Schizosaccharomyces pombe: one gene and its partners. The gene in region 3 interacts genetically with the main gene of each other region. Each region holds a gene or a part of one and is shown on either strand. Other genes may lie near its edges.

What was found.
Region 1: mutations in SPOM_SPAC977.05C (region 3) and tol1 together harm fitness less than expected from each alone (positive genetic interaction), as found in Schizosaccharomyces pombe (one large-scale study listed by BioGRID).
Region 2: mutations in SPOM_SPAC977.05C (region 3) and SPOM_SPCC622.15C together harm fitness less than expected from each alone (positive genetic interaction), as found in Schizosaccharomyces pombe (one large-scale study listed by BioGRID).
Region 4: mutations in SPOM_SPAC977.05C (region 3) and npp1 together harm fitness more than expected from each alone (negative genetic interaction), as found in Schizosaccharomyces pombe (one large-scale study listed by BioGRID).

Annotation. Positions count from the first base shown.
Region 1 is NC_003421.2:1,547,522-1,551,897, reverse strand, and holds tol1 (3'(2'),5'-bisphosphate nucleotidase/inositol-1,4-bisphosphate 1-phosphatase), read right to left. Parts: upstream 1,995-4,376; 5' UTR 1,895-1,994; coding exon 833-1,894; 3' UTR 501-832; downstream 1-500. Other genes in the region: zinc finger C3HC-type containing RNA export factor Rsm1, read right to left, coding at 1-204; meiotic recombination protein Rec7, read left to right, coding at 2,829-2,981, 3,039-3,152, 3,258-4,010. UniProt on the Schizosaccharomyces pombe protein: Phosphatase that converts adenosine 3'-phosphate 5'-phosphosulfate (PAPS) to adenosine 5'-phosphosulfate (APS) and 3'(2')-phosphoadenosine 5'-phosphate (PAP) to AMP. May regulate the flux of sulfur in the sulfur-activation pathway by converting PAPS to APS.
Region 2 is NC_003421.2:1,428,037-1,432,736, reverse strand, and holds SPOM_SPCC622.15C (uncharacterized protein), read left to right. Parts: upstream 1-1,887; 5' UTR 1,888-1,957; coding exon 1,958-3,631; 3' UTR 3,632-3,994; downstream 3,995-4,700. Other genes in the region: Jmjc domain-containing protein Epe1, read left to right, coding at 1-1,038; SPOM_SPCC622.14 (GTPase-activating protein), read right to left, coding at 4,215-4,460, 4,521-4,700.
Region 3 is NC_003424.3:35,198-38,662, reverse strand, and holds SPOM_SPAC977.05C (Vel1p domain-containing protein), read left to right. Parts: upstream 1-2,280; coding exon 2,281-2,895; downstream 2,896-3,465.
Region 4 is NC_003423.3:1,209,924-1,214,348, reverse strand, and holds npp1 (nucleotide pyrophosphatase), read left to right. Parts: upstream 1-1,957; 5' UTR 1,958-1,996; coding exon 1,997-3,454; 3' UTR 3,455-3,558; downstream 3,559-4,425. Other genes in the region: serine/threonine protein kinase Ppk31, read left to right, coding at 1-1,526; 2-hydroxyacyl-CoA lyase Hac1, read right to left, coding at 3,627-3,671, 3,723-4,425.

The DNA of each region.
Region 1 (4,376 bases), on a different chromosome or scaffold from region 3:
TATCTCACCAATTTGAGGATCGTTTACATAAGCCCACCGACTTCTATAAGTCAACAATCGTCTCAAAAACTCTTCTCTGCTCCAGGGCTTATATGTGCATTTAGAAGCTTTTAGAGACTTTAAAAGAATATCTTCATTTCTTTCGTCAATTTTGTCTAACTGATCCAAAATTTCATTTGTCTCCATATCGGTAGGAAATGACATTATCACCCGTTCTAAGAGTTAAAAAATTATATTTCTTTTCGAAAAATGTGGTGTCTCAAATATTATCATAGAAAACTTTTATTACATGCCTTTTCCAAACGTTTTCAGCAGGAATCAAGGTAGCGCAAGTCAAAGTACTTAGGAAGGATCTCAAAATACCAATTTGGATCATGAGCTCAATATTCGTTTCATCAAAATTGTTAAAAAGTTTTACCGTTTTAAGAAAACATGTCCATGTTATTAGCCAAACCACACTTGAAGGCATAAATTCCTTGAAATTGATCAACACCACCGTATAGTAAATTTACGAGAATACTAAAAGTAAAATAGTAAGGTAATATGGAAAATAACTATACAATTAACCTATTCATACTGACCTGTGTAACTATACCTGAACAATTAAACATTGCTACTATATAATCCATAATTTAAGGTAAATAAAATATGTCATCCATAAAGACATATAACATGTTGTTAATTGTTTTGATCTAATTAAAAGGAGCTAATCATAAGCTTATGGCAAGTAAATATTTTCAAGATTACATTTTTTGTAGAATCCTCGATAACGCATATGCTAACATGCTGAAAAATCTAAATAAAGCCCTAAAGCTAGAATATTTCGGACAGATTATTGGGCGACCTTTTGAAAGTGAGGGTCTTTAGATGTTACAGCTGCAGTAGCTTCAATTACCTTTTCAAAAATACCTTTGTAGGCGGCTATAACACCGTTATTGTTCTTAAGAGTTCTTCCTACACCAAAGTCCAAAGGTTTGCCAAACATATCAGAAACAACACCACCAGCCTCTTCAACAAGAAGAGAACCACCAGCATGATCCCAAATTTTTTCTTCAAATGTCATTTTGGTTGGTAAACGAAGGTAGATGTCACCATCACCACGAGCAAGACTAGCGTATTTGGCTTGAGAATCCATCTTGGTAGGTCCACGAGTAATCCCTAAGTACTTTGCAATTTCTTCTTGAGTTCCTTGCATTGAATGACCAGCCTCTACTCCTTCGCAAAATTTTGAATCCTTGGTGTTTTGAACATCTTGCATGTGCACTTGAACTGGTTCTAATTTTTCGTTATGGAGAGAATACTGGAAGCAACCATGGTTACGAACAGCGGACATTATGATACCTTTGGGACTTGTCTCGGGCTGATTAAAGTCATATGGAAGATTAGGGCATCCAATGGCACTTACCACAGGTTTTCCATTCTCAATCAAAGCTAAACAAATAGCATACTGGGCACCACGTAGAAATCCTTTAGTTCCATCAATGGGATCCAAAGTCCACATACGACCATTGCGACCACCGTGATATGATCCTTGGTCAATAATGCTCATCATTTCTTCAGCTGACTTGATTTGACCAAGCTCTTTGTATTCAGTAGCATGTTGGATAGTTTCTTGAACTAATTCCCAAACACGAGAGCAGGTTTGGGTGTTTTCTCTCAAAAAGTCGGAATCCTCTTCGCCAACAATTGGATCATTGGGAAATGCATCTTTTAACATAGAGATTACGATAGCTTGAGCACCAAAATCGCCAATAGTCACAGGTGATTTATCATCTTTAGTAAGTGCCCCAGCAGCACTCTTCTCCTTGATAAGTTGATTAAACACTTTTTCGGTCAAATAGCTAGCTCTGCGCACAGCAGCAATAGCTAATTGTTTTTCGGCATCAAAGCTCATGGTAAATAATTTTCTAATGTTATTTATTAATGGAGGTATGATTTTAGCACCAAATTTCCTGTTAACACGGAGTTTGGAAATTTTTGTAAACCTGGGCAGTGGAAGTGCGAAGAATATGAAATCAGCATATACGGTGTTTAATTGACGTTTCCACATTTAACCAAAAATATTGTTCAAATAGAAGAAAGAACTAAAAAATTGTTATGAAACGAGAAAGAGTTTCATTTTTTCTGACTAAAAGACCTTTTTTTTTTGTAAAATCGCAGGTTATGCTAACTTTTATTAAACAATAATGATTATGTAGTTTCTATTGTGAAAAGAGCATGTTAATATTTTAAAACAGGTTTCTCCATGTCCACATTTTAGGTTTTCATTAATTATACAAACGACACTACTAAAGTCTGGGTATTGGCAAAGCAGTTCGCCAACCCTTCCAACCTATGGAGAAAGGATGAAATATAATATTAAGGAAAAAAAATATCATTCTGATGGAAAAAACGCATAATTTAAAAGCAGTGCAAGTCCGTATCTTGCGTTTCCCTTTAACAGGCAAATATGCCTAAAATTTTTATATAAGTGTAGATACCAAGGATGAAATGAAGGCATAAAAATATTTTAAAGGGATTGATTAGTAAAAGAAGAAACTGCTCATAAAATTTCCTTTCTCTCAAAATACTGTTGTTTGAAGAGACTTGAGAAATTAATGAACAATCAGATATTCCTCAATACAGATTGAAGAAATAGTTTCCTTATGGCAAATTACAATCATATGTAATATATTGTGATAACAAGACTTACATTCCATAAAGTCTAGTCGTTTTCAGGTCAACTCATAAATGTAAACAAAAGTAATACACCGTGACGGAACGTACTGCGTTATCAGATAAATGAGGTTCAGTCTAACGCGTCTTCTCATATTCAAACATAAACAAACATGAACATTTTCCCAATTGTTAAGTACTCTGTAGCTGAGGATTCGTATACTACAGATTCCTCCCATATCAACTGGTCACATTATTCAGATGGAGGTTTTACACTCTCATTAACGTCTGGATTGCTTCAAATTCGTCAACACGAAGAATTAATTGTACGCGACATGAAACCATATTGCTAGAAAAATTCAATATTTTTAACAAACAAACAGCAAAGTATAAACTTGTTAGATCTCTGGCACCAATTGATACCGGGAACGAAGGAAAAATGTCTAACTCTGCTTTCACGCGCTCCGTGTATGAATATTCGTGCTTTCACTAATAATGTAAGTAAAACAAAAGCAGATTTATTCAAAATCACATTGAGGCCTCTTTTTTTAAAAAAAAAAATGGAGTGTTGATGAAGCGTATTTTGTTGTTAATAAATTTAGGTGATGAAAAGATTTCAAGTGAAATTCCCATCTGACGTGCATTATATGAAAGCCAAAGTTGAATTTGAGAAGCTAGGCCTGGTGTTCAAAGATGCAAAGTCTTCCTCTGAGAAGAAGCAATTCAATAACTCCCAAAGTCAATCTAATAACTCACAGGAACTTTCGTTGATGAACAATGCATATAACAAGTCATCGGCGCAACAGCCAAATCTTTTATTACAACCGAGTTATATCCCCATGACCCAAACAGCAACAACTGCTGTGAACAATAGCACAAACTATGTCAATCCAGCACCACTGCAGCATGTCATGCCAAATGCTGAAATCTTCTCCAATACACCACCGCTTAAGCGATTCCGCGGGGATGCGGGCATGACCCAAATGCCCCTTCGAAGTGATACATCAATTGAAAGTATTACTGCGTCACAACAACCCACTTGGGATGAAAACGTGGTGATAACTTCATCACCTTTTAATCCCAATCGTAATGCCTACTCTTACGGTGCAAACTCACAATACCCCATTATTGCTGCTACGCCGCTGAACTCTCAGACACAGGCTTCGTGGGTTGCTCAACCGGAGAACCAAGCATACGCAAATTTGATTCCATCACCCCCAACGACTTCACAAATCCTACCAACAGAACTTACTGAAGAGGAAAAGCAATTACGCTCCAAGGTATTATTCTATCTAAAACAAGACAGCTTCATCCAATTATGTCAAAGTTTGGAACGGGTATGGAACAAGATGTAGGAAGACAGACCAATTCAACTTAATCCCAAATTTAAAAAAGTAGTAAAAATGGAACGAAATCAGGATCGGAATGGTTATTTCGACAAAATTGATGTGTGACCACAATTTGGCAACCAAATGAGAAACTTCATTAAGTTCACATTCTTCGAGTACCGTGATAAAACATTTGTTGCAAATTTTGACATTATTTAACGAAAAGTTGGTCGAGATCTCAACTGCATATGATCGTTGCTGAGGATTAGCAAACAGAAACCGCCAACACAACAATGTTGAAATAAATTTCTCTACTTGTTGCATGACTCTTTTCCCTTAGGCTTGTCCATGCAGAGCATTAAAATCAAATTGAGAAGATCCCGTTCCGATCCT
Region 2 (4,700 bases), on a different chromosome or scaffold from region 3:
ATTAAGAGTACTAAAAAGGCACCCAGCTGGCGCTCGATAATTAAGGCTTTCAAGAAGCGAGAAAATACTAGGTGTAATTTTCTGTCAAGTTTACATGCAACTACGTTTCGTGAGGACATTGTCGTTCGTCCTAAAATCAAGTCATTCGTTCTCGAACAGTTGATCTTTCAGGCGTTGTTTTCATTTGCTATCAATTGGACACCAAGCTTCTTTTTGAATCACTCCAATTTTGAGAATATTGCGTTGAGTAAAGAAACGTTTAACTTTGGAGGTGAAGCCAATTGCGAAAATACGGACACCACATTATTTACTACTTGGGGCGATCAAGGTTTTAGACCAAGTGATTCTATTTGCTATAACGACTTTAATTTATTGGAAACGGCGAATTCTGATGCTGAAGCTTCAATACATGAACTCGAACTTCAACCGCTGAATGCAGTGAATGAAAGAGAGGTTGATATATCGCAAACCGACATGACTCCATCCACGGCGTTAGACACTAGGGTAGACACTAGGGTAGACTCTTTACCAGAATTTTCAAACTTGATACTTTCGCCCTCAAGCAATGACGACAGTTTTCAACTTGACGACTTGTTGTCCCCCTCTTCATCAAATCTCAAACAACAGATTCAAAAAGTCGTTCCTCAAAATTCCCTAGAATTTTCTGTTGGTGAGAAAGAAAAAAAGGCAGCCGAATATAGCCTGCTTCATACGTTTTCTTACAAACGACTCTCTATGGAAAATGAGAAACCAGATACTACAAAGGTACCTTTAAAATATAACATACAACATGAAGAAATGAAAGCGTATCGAAGAAAAAATGATTTAGAATATATAGATCAGCACTTTGCAAGCTCTAAGAGTGGAATTTCGAATGGGAGGAATAATAATAAAGAGGTCAACTTAACAAAAGCTGAAAATGTCGGCATCAAAAAACGTCGAATCATGAAAAATGAAAATAACATTTATGATTTTGAAGATCACTCTCCTGTTAGGGAAAAATGGGGGCACAGGCTTCGGTCCAGAGGTGCTAGTTAAAGTACCTCGGCACTTTTTATTTCCTTCGGCTACCATTGAATATTTATCCCCACGTGCTTATGATTCTTGAGTAGTTCACATTTTATGAGTATATCATGAAGGTTTCATCAAATAATTAAGACTCTTTTTTTTTCTATTAATTGGGTTTTTATTTATAAAACGATTAAGAGCATCAATCCACTTTGACTCGTTGTTTGCTTTTAAACTACGATCGTCCTAAAATGATTTATGGACTACATAACACACAATGGAGTCATTGAAAGCGTGGACATCCCCATGAAGCGGCGCAGGGACACTCAACCTGAACGGATTGTATCAAAGCCGGATACTACAACACACTTTTTAATATGAATGTCTCCTATTGGCGTCGTCTCGTCTACTTTATCCATCTCAGCTGATGCAACGACGCTTCAGGGTTTTCCATCCAAATCCCAATTTACCAGCCTTACTTTTTTATAATGTGCTAATATTGTTGAATTGTGCTCAAATATGTACATATACTACCCGATATAATGATTCTATAAATACTCTTTTTCTGTTTTTTTTTTTGGAACTCATATAAATAAATAATCCGGCGATCTAACTACAAGCCACGTTTCTATTAATCTAATCGGTCGTTTCATCTTTGAATATTATTTAATTAATTTATTTTCCTATTTTAATTGTTAATACTACTAGAAACAATGGTAATATTCTAGATTTCTATTATCTTAAGATTTCCGCATTGCAACCTGCTAAGTAATCTTATCAATGCGTTAGAACGCGTAATGTTATTTTACATTTTACGGTCCGCAAGCTAAAGCATGCACTATGTATTCATTGCCATACGCGAGCAATGTACCCGGCCTTAACAATACAGTAGACGGATATTGGAATTCAAGCGGAATTGAATATTTCTGCTTTGAATTGACTTAAAATAATGAATGAAGATGAAACTTCAATTTTAAATAAGAAAATGGAGAAAATTGAGGTAGAAATGGCGGAATTTGAACGATTGGGCGCTGAAAGAGAGAAGGAGGCGGTCGAAAGAATTGTTCAAGAGGAAAATCAAAATCCTGAAGTTCCATCGAACGATGACGCGTCCACAGATATTAAATCGCGAAAAGAAGGAAATATGAAAGTCACCGCCGAGGAAATTGGTTTGGAGACTGAGAACTTTGATGAGCTACCTGTAAGTAATGGATTTGGTGTAAGCCGACGAGAAACCCATTACGGTAACAACAGGACGTATTACAAAAATTCTCAAGGATATCGAAGAAAACCCAAGAGAGATGATTATAACAATAACCGAAAAAACTTTTATCCTCCTATACAAAATTCTACATATTTTATAAACGCTACCGGGGGAATTGACTCCATGCCATATTTTGGTTTAAATAATGCTCCCGGCAATATCTATCCCTTCTCAATGTATAAACCTTTGGAAGCGGATCCGCAGTATTTATCTGTTCCCTCATCCATGCCTTCCAGAAGGGAAGCTGGTATGGCTTATGGATATCAGAACTACAAACGAGGTGGTTATACTCCTAATACGCAGTATTTTGAGGAGCCTCTTAATAACACCTCTTTTCCTAATTCCCAAGGGAAAGAGGGAAAAAATTCGGGGTATCGTAAATCGTCAAGGATCCTCGATATCCGTGTAAAGTTTGGAAACTCTTCTATGAAAGCCATCAATTTTCAACCTAAAAAGAAAATTGTCCATGTCGTGCATAATCCCCGTCTCCATCAGAACAAAGTTCTTCGCGTCAGTATACCTGGATCCCAACCAGCACTGGTTACACCCAAACATAAAATGAATGTTCCTCCTATGGGAATGTATCCCTTACCTTTCTCCCCTTTACCTTCTGCAGCTCCGCCTATTCCTTTTTCCCCTAACGTCTCTTCCCATCCACATATGGCTTTTCTTCCAGCCACTGTACCAACTCATTCTGCTCCTCCTGGATTTGTCCCTTACGATTTTCCTATTACAAATGACAAAATGTATCCTTCACCCTCATTTCAAGAGGAATTTCCATCAACTTCAAAGTCCCCTTCGGCCACACCGGGATCTTCTAACGCTCCTGTTGTGGATATGCATCCTAGCGCTGATTCCGCTACGTACCCTACTTCCATATATCCCTCTAATGTACGTGCAAGAGATGATTCTCAGCAAGCTTATATTTCTGCGAATATGACTACCGGTGAAATGCCATCCATGACCAATGTTCCCGCTGGTAATGCACCTGCAGCACCGGGAACCATGTACACAACCCCTTTACCTACTGCCAATAGTCCGATTGCATATCAATCCTACTCTGTTATGCCGACTTACTGGTCGTTTCCTCAAAATTATGATTCCACCGTTCCCGCGGTCTATCCTTATATGCCTCCTCCATTTTCTGGCAGTGATATGAATGTAATGTCCAATCCTGCTGCCGATACTTTACGATCTTATTCACCTGCTAGTCAGGTCTCAACTCCCCCCTTCGGTTTCGTTTATTACTATGACCCAAATCAGTATTACGTACCAGTTAGTAACGAATCAGCCAATGCTACTAGCCAGCCGTTGTCTAACTTAGACACTGGAGGCAGTGCGCCTTATGACCATATTTGATGGGTCAATGACTTATTGTCTTTTGTTAGAATGATTTTTATCATTGAGCTTTTAAGCATTTTGATTTAATTATGTTATGACCAGCATTTTTGTTTTGGAAAATGACCGGCAATGCCTATATCCTCATATCTTCGTCTTTCCTGTTTTCTTTTAAAATCCACTCTACATACCGATTAGGCATCGTCGACTAAAAAAGAAAAAAGTCATTGGTTTTATTCAAGAAAGCACATGATCCGGTTATCTTCTTAAAATTTAGCCGGCATTCAACTTATGCTAATGAAAATAAAATATGTTATTATCATTTTTTTCATTGTTTTGAACTATAAGCCTAAAACGATGAAACTTTTGTAACAGAAATAAACAAGAAGACTCCGTCTTCAATATATACAAACTTTTTTTTTCAGTTCCCCATGTATTATACTTGAAGAAGCTTCAAATGTCAGATAATTCTAATGAAGTAGCAATATTTTTTTTATCGGTAGCGTTCTTCGTTTATGTTTTAGCTGACGAATGCTTGATAGACGAGGCACTCCTAACAGCAATGAAACATATCAAACTGCTTACGAGTTTAATAATAAAAAAGTCAATCGTGCTTATCGAAATTCTTTTTCGAATAGTCTTCAGGTGGAGGAGAGGCAGCGAGAGCTGAATAAGGAGAGTCGATTTCCGCATCATAAGTACCGCGGGTGTTTTGGGGGTTTTCGGAATATACATTTTCATCCAAAAAGGATTTAAGTTGTGTAAATGATTGCTTAGCACCTTCCTGAACGTTACTAGAGAAATTATTAATGGCATTCATGTAATCCTTCCTTGTTTCGGGATCTTGAACCTAAAAACAGAGTCAGTACAACAGAAACTTTATTTTTTGGATACAATAAAATGTTTGTACCTTTGTAATCCCTGGCTGAATATAGGACTTATTTACGTCTTGAATCTGTTGGGAAACAGATCTGGAGAACATGTTCCAACCATGACTAAGTGCAGAAACAGGATTAGATGATAATTGGTCCAAAAAAGAGCCACCGTTATTTCTAGCAGAAGAATTGGGATTAACAGAGTTAGAGCTTCC
Region 3 (3,465 bases):
CTCGTTGAAAAATTTATATTCGTATGTAATTACAACATCGTTCGCTACCTAAATTTTATTCTCTTGCGAAAAAGTAAAGAATAGGAATCAACGACTAAGTCTATACATCGGACTAACTCTTTTAGATCAATTGTACTGAAAACTTTTGGTTCCGCTTAGCCAGTTCATATTTTCTTTAAATTATGGCTCTGGGATTTGGGAACAAAAGAAAACTGAAAATGAAAGGGAAAAAAGCATGAAGCAATGTTACAAATAAATGTATAAGAAGGAATTCCTGTATTAGAAATTATATTACATTTTCATATAGAAATGATGATTTATGGTCTATTGATGTTTTCATCGTTAGTGCTTCCCATGATAAAAACAAATAAATTGCCATATGTTGAATCCTTCAGATTTTGAGTAAGGCTGAAGATGAAATGTCGCAATAATTCATAACTGTAATACTACATAAAGACTTTGATTATTGAGTTTAACTTTCATACATTTATTGCATTTTTAGCAAATGCAGTAGAACGGGCTTTCAAGAGATACAGAGGAAGAAAAGCGTAAGGGAATTATAAACTGGAATTTGTAAACATCTCTTGGAAATTATATCAATCTTGAATATTGGCTCATCATTAAAAATCATAGTGGAATACTTGGTTGTTATTCGAGTAGTTAGTCAGAAGTTATTGTTTTGATACACATAACCTTACTTGAATAATGTTACAAAAAAGAAAAATTATAATGGAAATAGATGAATCTAAAACAAATTTAATTTTTAAGCGATAAAATTGAAACAAACATTCGTCAACAAACTACTCTAAAATTTCACCTGCTACTAGTTTTACTACGAAAACGTAATATACTAGGGTTTCACAAGGTAAGTCATACATTCTAAATTTCTCCTTCCAGCATTTTGAAAATATCTTCTTTGCTCTAGACTTTGTTAAATACAGATGTAATAATATATGTTAACCACAAACTGCACCTACTTGACATGTGAATGGATGATATCTAAGAGGTGAAATTCAAATCTAAAGTAATGTTATGCAACATCTGTTAATTGTGTTTGTATTTCTTCTTAAAAATAATTACACATTTAACACGAAGCCATGAAAAGCGTTAGAGGTTTCGCCTCTAACTGATTTAAAAAGGAAACCCAAATTTTTTCCCTTCTTAATTTATGTAAAAGTATTGAGAAATACCTAGTTATAAAGATGAAATTTCGAATATTTCAAATTTCATATAAAGAAAGATTTCTTTACAAGAAATGAATGAGTTTTAAGAATATATTCACAACAAAGCATTTGATAAAATTGATTTATTAAGTATGCATTGAAACATTCTAATGAGATTTTTTAAAGGAAACTGCAAAAAAATAGGGCGGTATATATGCAACTCGTTAAAGACGAGTAGTATAAGAATTGCTTCGCTTTCTTCAAAGACTAAATATGGAAAAAGAGTGGGGGATTACTATATTAACAAGTTTTCAGAACAGAAACAGAAACAATTACAACTATCTACAACCGAGAATCTCTTTAATTAATGTTTTCCAGTTCAGTCTGGTTGAAGATTCGTTTTTTGGCTTCTAAGTTAAAATCCAAGTAAATAACTGACGGGTATTTTATTTTAGAATAAATCGATAGGAATCCGAATCGTTTATAATATAATAAACGGGATAAAAGCTACTCATATTGCTAATGATAATCCAGTAGGCATACTACGACTGAAGAAACATAATTTTTTTTCGAATTTTTCCTTATCTAATGGAACCAGTACCATTTCGTGAATTAGCAGATTTTCATTTGTTTGTTTTGGCCTCGTTATTCAAATTCAATAATGTAATGGAAGATTTTCCAAGAATAATAGACGTTGATAACAATGGGTGGGAAACCGCAAATTTTGTTTGAAAATCAGAGGGAAGATCTACACAACAAAAAGAGCAACAAATTTGAGCAGTAGAGAAAAGACCAAAAAAGCGTGTGTTTTCTGAGACAAATGTGTCACAACTCGCCGATAAATTCGCAATCACATAAAAATTGGTATTCGTTATTGACTAGTGGGAAAACCACGTTACCTCAACGATTTGCAGTTGTTACCACTTTTGGTGACATTTCAAAAAGAAAAAGGTGATTTGCAACGTTTGAAATTGCGACGATCATGATCTACGCGAAAATATCTCATTTTATATATGTACGAGTTAATCTATTTTTGTTGCTGAAAAAAGAAAAAAAAAACTATATAAACCGACTAAAATCAAACATTTCTTTACAAACATTCAAAAGATATTTCCATATGATTTTCAAAAACTTAATATCTCTCTTTTTCATTGGGCTCGCTACCGCCATACGCTTCAACCTCACTGATCTTGAGTGTAGTAGACTACGCGGTCCGCATTGTGGTACGTATCTACTGAAAGTAGTAGGAACGAATGCTACATACGTTGGTGAAAAATCATTTATAGGTCTTGATGCTTTGACTGAAAGTAAAGGTGAATTTTTTCAGCGTATGTTGGAACAAGAACCTCGACTTATTCCACGTTTGTTTACGATAGCTGAAAACGACACGGCCAACTTTACTCCCTTGACATTTACAACGTATTTGAAAACATGCAATCCTCAAAGTATTGAAAATGCAATGATCCCTTTTGTGAATACTGTTACCAGTGAAATTTCTTTTGATGCATGGGCGTATACAGCACAAAATTCAAGTCGGATAACGGGTCTTAGCAACCAACTGATGAATTCTACTCTATATAATGTTCAAGTAGCAACATGTACTCCCGGATTCTCTGCGTTATTGTTAGATAGTCCTACAATCAATGTTTTTAATAACGAGGAAGGCATGCCAAGTTGGTGTCAGCCCATTGAACTTATACCAGTTTGTCCTTTGGATGAGGGATTCAACTGATATATATATAATCGTTATTTAAATCGTGGGATTTAAAAATAGGGGTTAAATTTATCCTCTAAAAACATTTAATTAGAAACGCTTAAGCAATAAAAGTCTTTATACTAGATAAAATATTGTAAATTGTTTTTTTTATTTTTTTTTTTTATTTTAAACTTATACTAAACATATTTTCTAACAAATAACGGAATTCATAAGTATTTTGATTTTGTTTATGTGTTTTTCGCTTTTTATTGTGTTTTAATGGTAAGGAAAAGTTATAGCATACTTCATTTTACTAGTGAAAAAAGCATAACAGGAAATCTTTTAAGTTAGCGACAAACAGTTACTCGGCTTCCAAGCGGTTGCAAATCATTCGTAGTAGATCGACAATCTTGGAATGAGTCTATCAAACAAATCCGCGCTAGGCAGTACGCTAAAATGAACAGCAACACATTTGATTTTACCGAGTATTGAGTATTCTCATCGTCGTTATAACCATTAACGGATTTGTACGTTTTGTTTATCTTCACAGAGCCAAGAGATCAAAGAAGGACTGAGGTGCGTTAAGTACGGTCCAACATGTAATTA
Region 4 (4,425 bases), on a different chromosome or scaffold from region 3:
TAGACGAGTTCATACTTTTAAAAGAAATAAACAGAGGGGCATACGGTAGGGTTTATCTTGCTAAAAAAAGATCTTCAGGAAAGTATTTTGCTCTTAAAATGATTCCAAAATCCAGTCTTGATAGCTTAAAAAAAATAAAAGGACTATTGCTTGAAAAGCGTAACATGCATATCCAAAGATATGGACCAAACACAGTGAAATTATATTATGCATTTGATTCTGGGGACTACCTATGCCTTGTAATGGATTATTTTAATGGAGGAGATTGTGAAACACTTATTCAAAAATTAGGACCGTTACCAGAGCAATGGGTTTGCCAGTACGCAGCTGAATTACTAAATGCTATCGAGCTTTTGCATCAGGATGGAATCATCCATCACGACATAAAGCCTGCCAACATGTTGGTTGACGAAACAGGACATATTCGGCTTACAGACTTCGGACTGAGTGAAAACGTAGAGGAAAAAAAAGAGGTTTATAAGCTTACTAAGAGGATGTCATTTGAACAGAAACATGGAAATTTGTATGAGCAGCTTCAACCTAAAAAATTCGAATTTGTAAGATATGTTCGAAATTACCGCGGGAATATTGATGAGCTTGAGAAAGCGGAGAGTCCACAGCAAAATAGTGATTATGCCAATGACTCGGTCCAGCATTTACTTGACTTTGATATCAATAACATGGATGAAACAGCAATACACATGTTAATGAATCAGTTAGAGAAAAAGGAAAACCGGACATTCATCAAAAAAGATATTTCAGGGACGCCAAATTATATGGCTCCAGAAATTTTAATGGGCGTTGATACTCAGATGGGCGATATATGGGCGATGGGTTGTGTGATATTCGAAATGTTGACTGGCACGCGACCATTTGAAGCAAATACTGTAAAAGCAATATGGGCTCGCATAGAGAGAAATGATATTGGTTGGACTAAAAGAGTGAAAGAAAGCTGCTCAAAGGAGGCGGTAGACTTAATCACCAAACTCATGGATCCAGACTGTAACAAACGGCTGGGTAGCAATGGATACCAGGAAATCAAAAAACATCCTTTTTTTCGAACCATTAAATGGGATAATTTAAATAGTGGGCCAGGTCCGTTCGTTCCACAAACAGAAAATGTTGAAGATTTGACGTACTTTGAAAAAAACATAAGCGGTTCGGATAATATTAATAAAAATAATTGTCAGACGTCAGCAACTTTAATTCTAAATGGTATTTTTGCTTTTCATCCTCCTCCAAAAGCAACACCAGCTGACAGTGGTACTGAAACCTCAAACTCAGCTGCTTTCTCTGCGTCCGAGGAGGAGACCACAAATTTAACAGACCAAAAACGAAAAGATCTTTTTTCACTAATAACCAAAGCGTTTAAGGGAATAGACTTAAAGGCCCTTAATTACAACAACAAAGCCACGCTTTTGCGAATGTATGATGAGGTCGATTTCCCCAAAAATCAACAAAGAAATAAAGAGAAATTTCGAATTCAGAAACGACCTAACAAAAAGTATCGCTACCATTTATTTTAACATCATGTAAAACCATAGACATAACATGTTCGCTATCCAGAACGAATCATGATAAGTTGAAAAATGGTTAATTAATATTTCCATACAGAAACAGTAAAAAGACAAATAAACTTGTTCTACAAAATCTTTTATTCTGAGGCTTTAGCCAAATAATGCTTCTAACATAAGTTGATGTTTCCTCCTTGAATCCAAATATTATTAATAGTTGAATTTCATATATGAAAAAAAGCTATCTCATTTCACTAAACGTTTCAAAGGATGACATTTCCTATACGACAGAACATTTAAGAGGACTGAATAGTTTACGAATTGAAGTAAGTTAGAACAAAGTGTTTACCGCATATCTTTGAAAGCGTTAAATGATTTTAACAATATTTTTCGCATCGTTATTCAAGTAAGTATTATTTGACAGATTATATGATATACCTAACAATACTCCTTTATATCATTGATTTTGAACATTCGCCGAAATGTTTAGTTGGGCTAATATTGGGTCCAACGAGTATTTGCCTTTGAAAAATGATCGAAAGGCTTATTTGAATCAATGGGCAAAACGATCGGGACTAGCAATTGCCGCTATTTGCATTTTAGGAATTCTGATATTGGCAATTGTGAAATTATTTTGCTTCAAAGCAATTATTTTTCCTATCGTTGGAGGTTCCTTCAACAATGGGACCAATGTTTTTCAGTCCACTGTCATCGTAATCTCCTTGGATGGATTCCGTGCTGATTACTTATATCGTGGGTTCACACCTAATCTTCTGAGCCTGGCTGAACGTAATGTCCATGTTCCCTTTTTGATTCCTTCTTTTCCTAGTATAACTTTCCCTAATCACTATACTATTGTTACCGGTTTATATCCCGAGAGCCATGGAATCGTTAGTAACAACTTTTTTGATCCTGTAACTGGGAAGCAATTTGTCAACAGTATGCCTGAATGTAACAAAGACCCAACTTGGTGGGATAAAGGGGAGCCTATATGGGTCAACGCTGAGCGAAATAACGTTCGATCAGCGGTACATATGTGGCCTGGAAATGAAGTGGAGAATCATGGTTACAGACCTACTTATTCGGATGGTTTCAATTTTGATACGACTCTAAGAGAAAAGAAAGATAGAATACTCGAATGGCTGGATCTTCCTGATAAAGACCGCCCTCAGTTATTACTTGCTTATGCTCCCCATGTAGATATGGTTGGGCACGCATTTGGACCGGATTCGCCTGAACTGAATATCATAATTCAAGAAGTTGATATCGTAATTGGTGAACTAATTGAAGGACTGAAGAAAAGAAATATCGATAAGCATGTCAACATTATTTTTTTAAGTGATCATGGAATGGCGCCTACATCCGATAATCGTCTTATCTGGCTGGATAATATGTTTAATTTGTCTGCCGTTGCACACAGAGATGCTTGGCCGTTAGGAGGTTTTAGAGGAGAATCTGATTTAGATGATGAGTACATTTACGAAAGTCTTGTTAATTATTCTCGCTCGTCATTACCTTCTGCTGAGAATTGGAATGTTTATTCAAAGAAAGATATACCTTCTCGATGGCATTACTCAAATAATGAAAGAATAGCTCCCGTTTGGATGATCCCGGATGTTGGATGGTCTCTTGTCTCGATGCTGGATCATTCACCGGAGTTGGAGTATGAGCCTTTGGGTGTACATGGTTATGACAATTTGTCTCCAGTGATGAGAGCACTTTTTATCGCTTCAGGATCTTCTTTTAAGAATTTTAAGGGAAAGAAGCTTGCACCGTTCCAGAACACCGAAATTTATGGCATTCTTTCGCATATATTAGATTTACCAGCTCAGCCTAATAATGGTACATATGAAGGTGCTTTACCTTTAAGAAGAAATCGTAATTCTACTAAGGAATGGTTGCTGAAGGACATAGAACAAGCATACTCTAAGCTTATTTAATTCTGCTGTTTTATCACTATCTTTATATTTTTTAATATTTTTAATTTCCTTTAGATTATATTTAATACTTTTTTTTAATAAACGACTTTATTTGAATAGCAACAATAACTGTATTCCGATTTTTAAGAATCGTAAAAGAACATCACTTCTTCTATTTTTAATTAAATGATGGTCATAACTTTGGTTTCACTTTGGTACTGCTCATCCATGCAAATGTCTAGTGATTGTTAGCTTGTTCTTATACCTAATTCATTCCATTAATACTTACCAATTTTCGAGCAGCCTCCGGGTCCACCATAACATTTATGAGAGATACAGATGAGGTTTGCCATGCTTTCCTGAGGGAACTTCTCAAATCTTCTTCATTCTTTACAAAGAAACCTTTACCACCACATGCTTCGCAAATTTGATCATAACGTATACTAGTGCCTAAGGCAGTAGTCGGTAATTGGTGATTATCACGTAAAGTTTCATAAGCATCAGTATCTAATCCATGGTAAACACCATTATTATTGATTACAATTACCAAAAGATCCAGCTGGTTGCGTATGGCGGTTTCCAGTTCCATGGCGCTAAAGCCAAAAGCACTATCACCCTCAACTACCACTATTTTGTCGGATGAATGGGCAAATGCGCTGGCAATAGCATATCCCATACCAACTCCCATTGTTGACATAGTGCCTGCATCCAGTCGACCACGTGGATGAGTTACTTCTAAAAGCTGACGGCCCCGGTCCATTGTATTGGCGCCTTCAGAAACCCAAGTGATATTACGCTTTGATTTGAGCGATAAGCTTTGTAGCTCCTCATTCACGACATACAAAGCATAATTCATTTGCAACGGTATACTGGACTTTCGAGATTCAAGAGCCTTTTTCTCATTCTTGGATCGGGTTTCATTTAACGTGCGAAGGTAAGGGGTCGAGATGCCAACACTGTACTTCCAAGTTTGAACGAGCTTAAAAAGACAA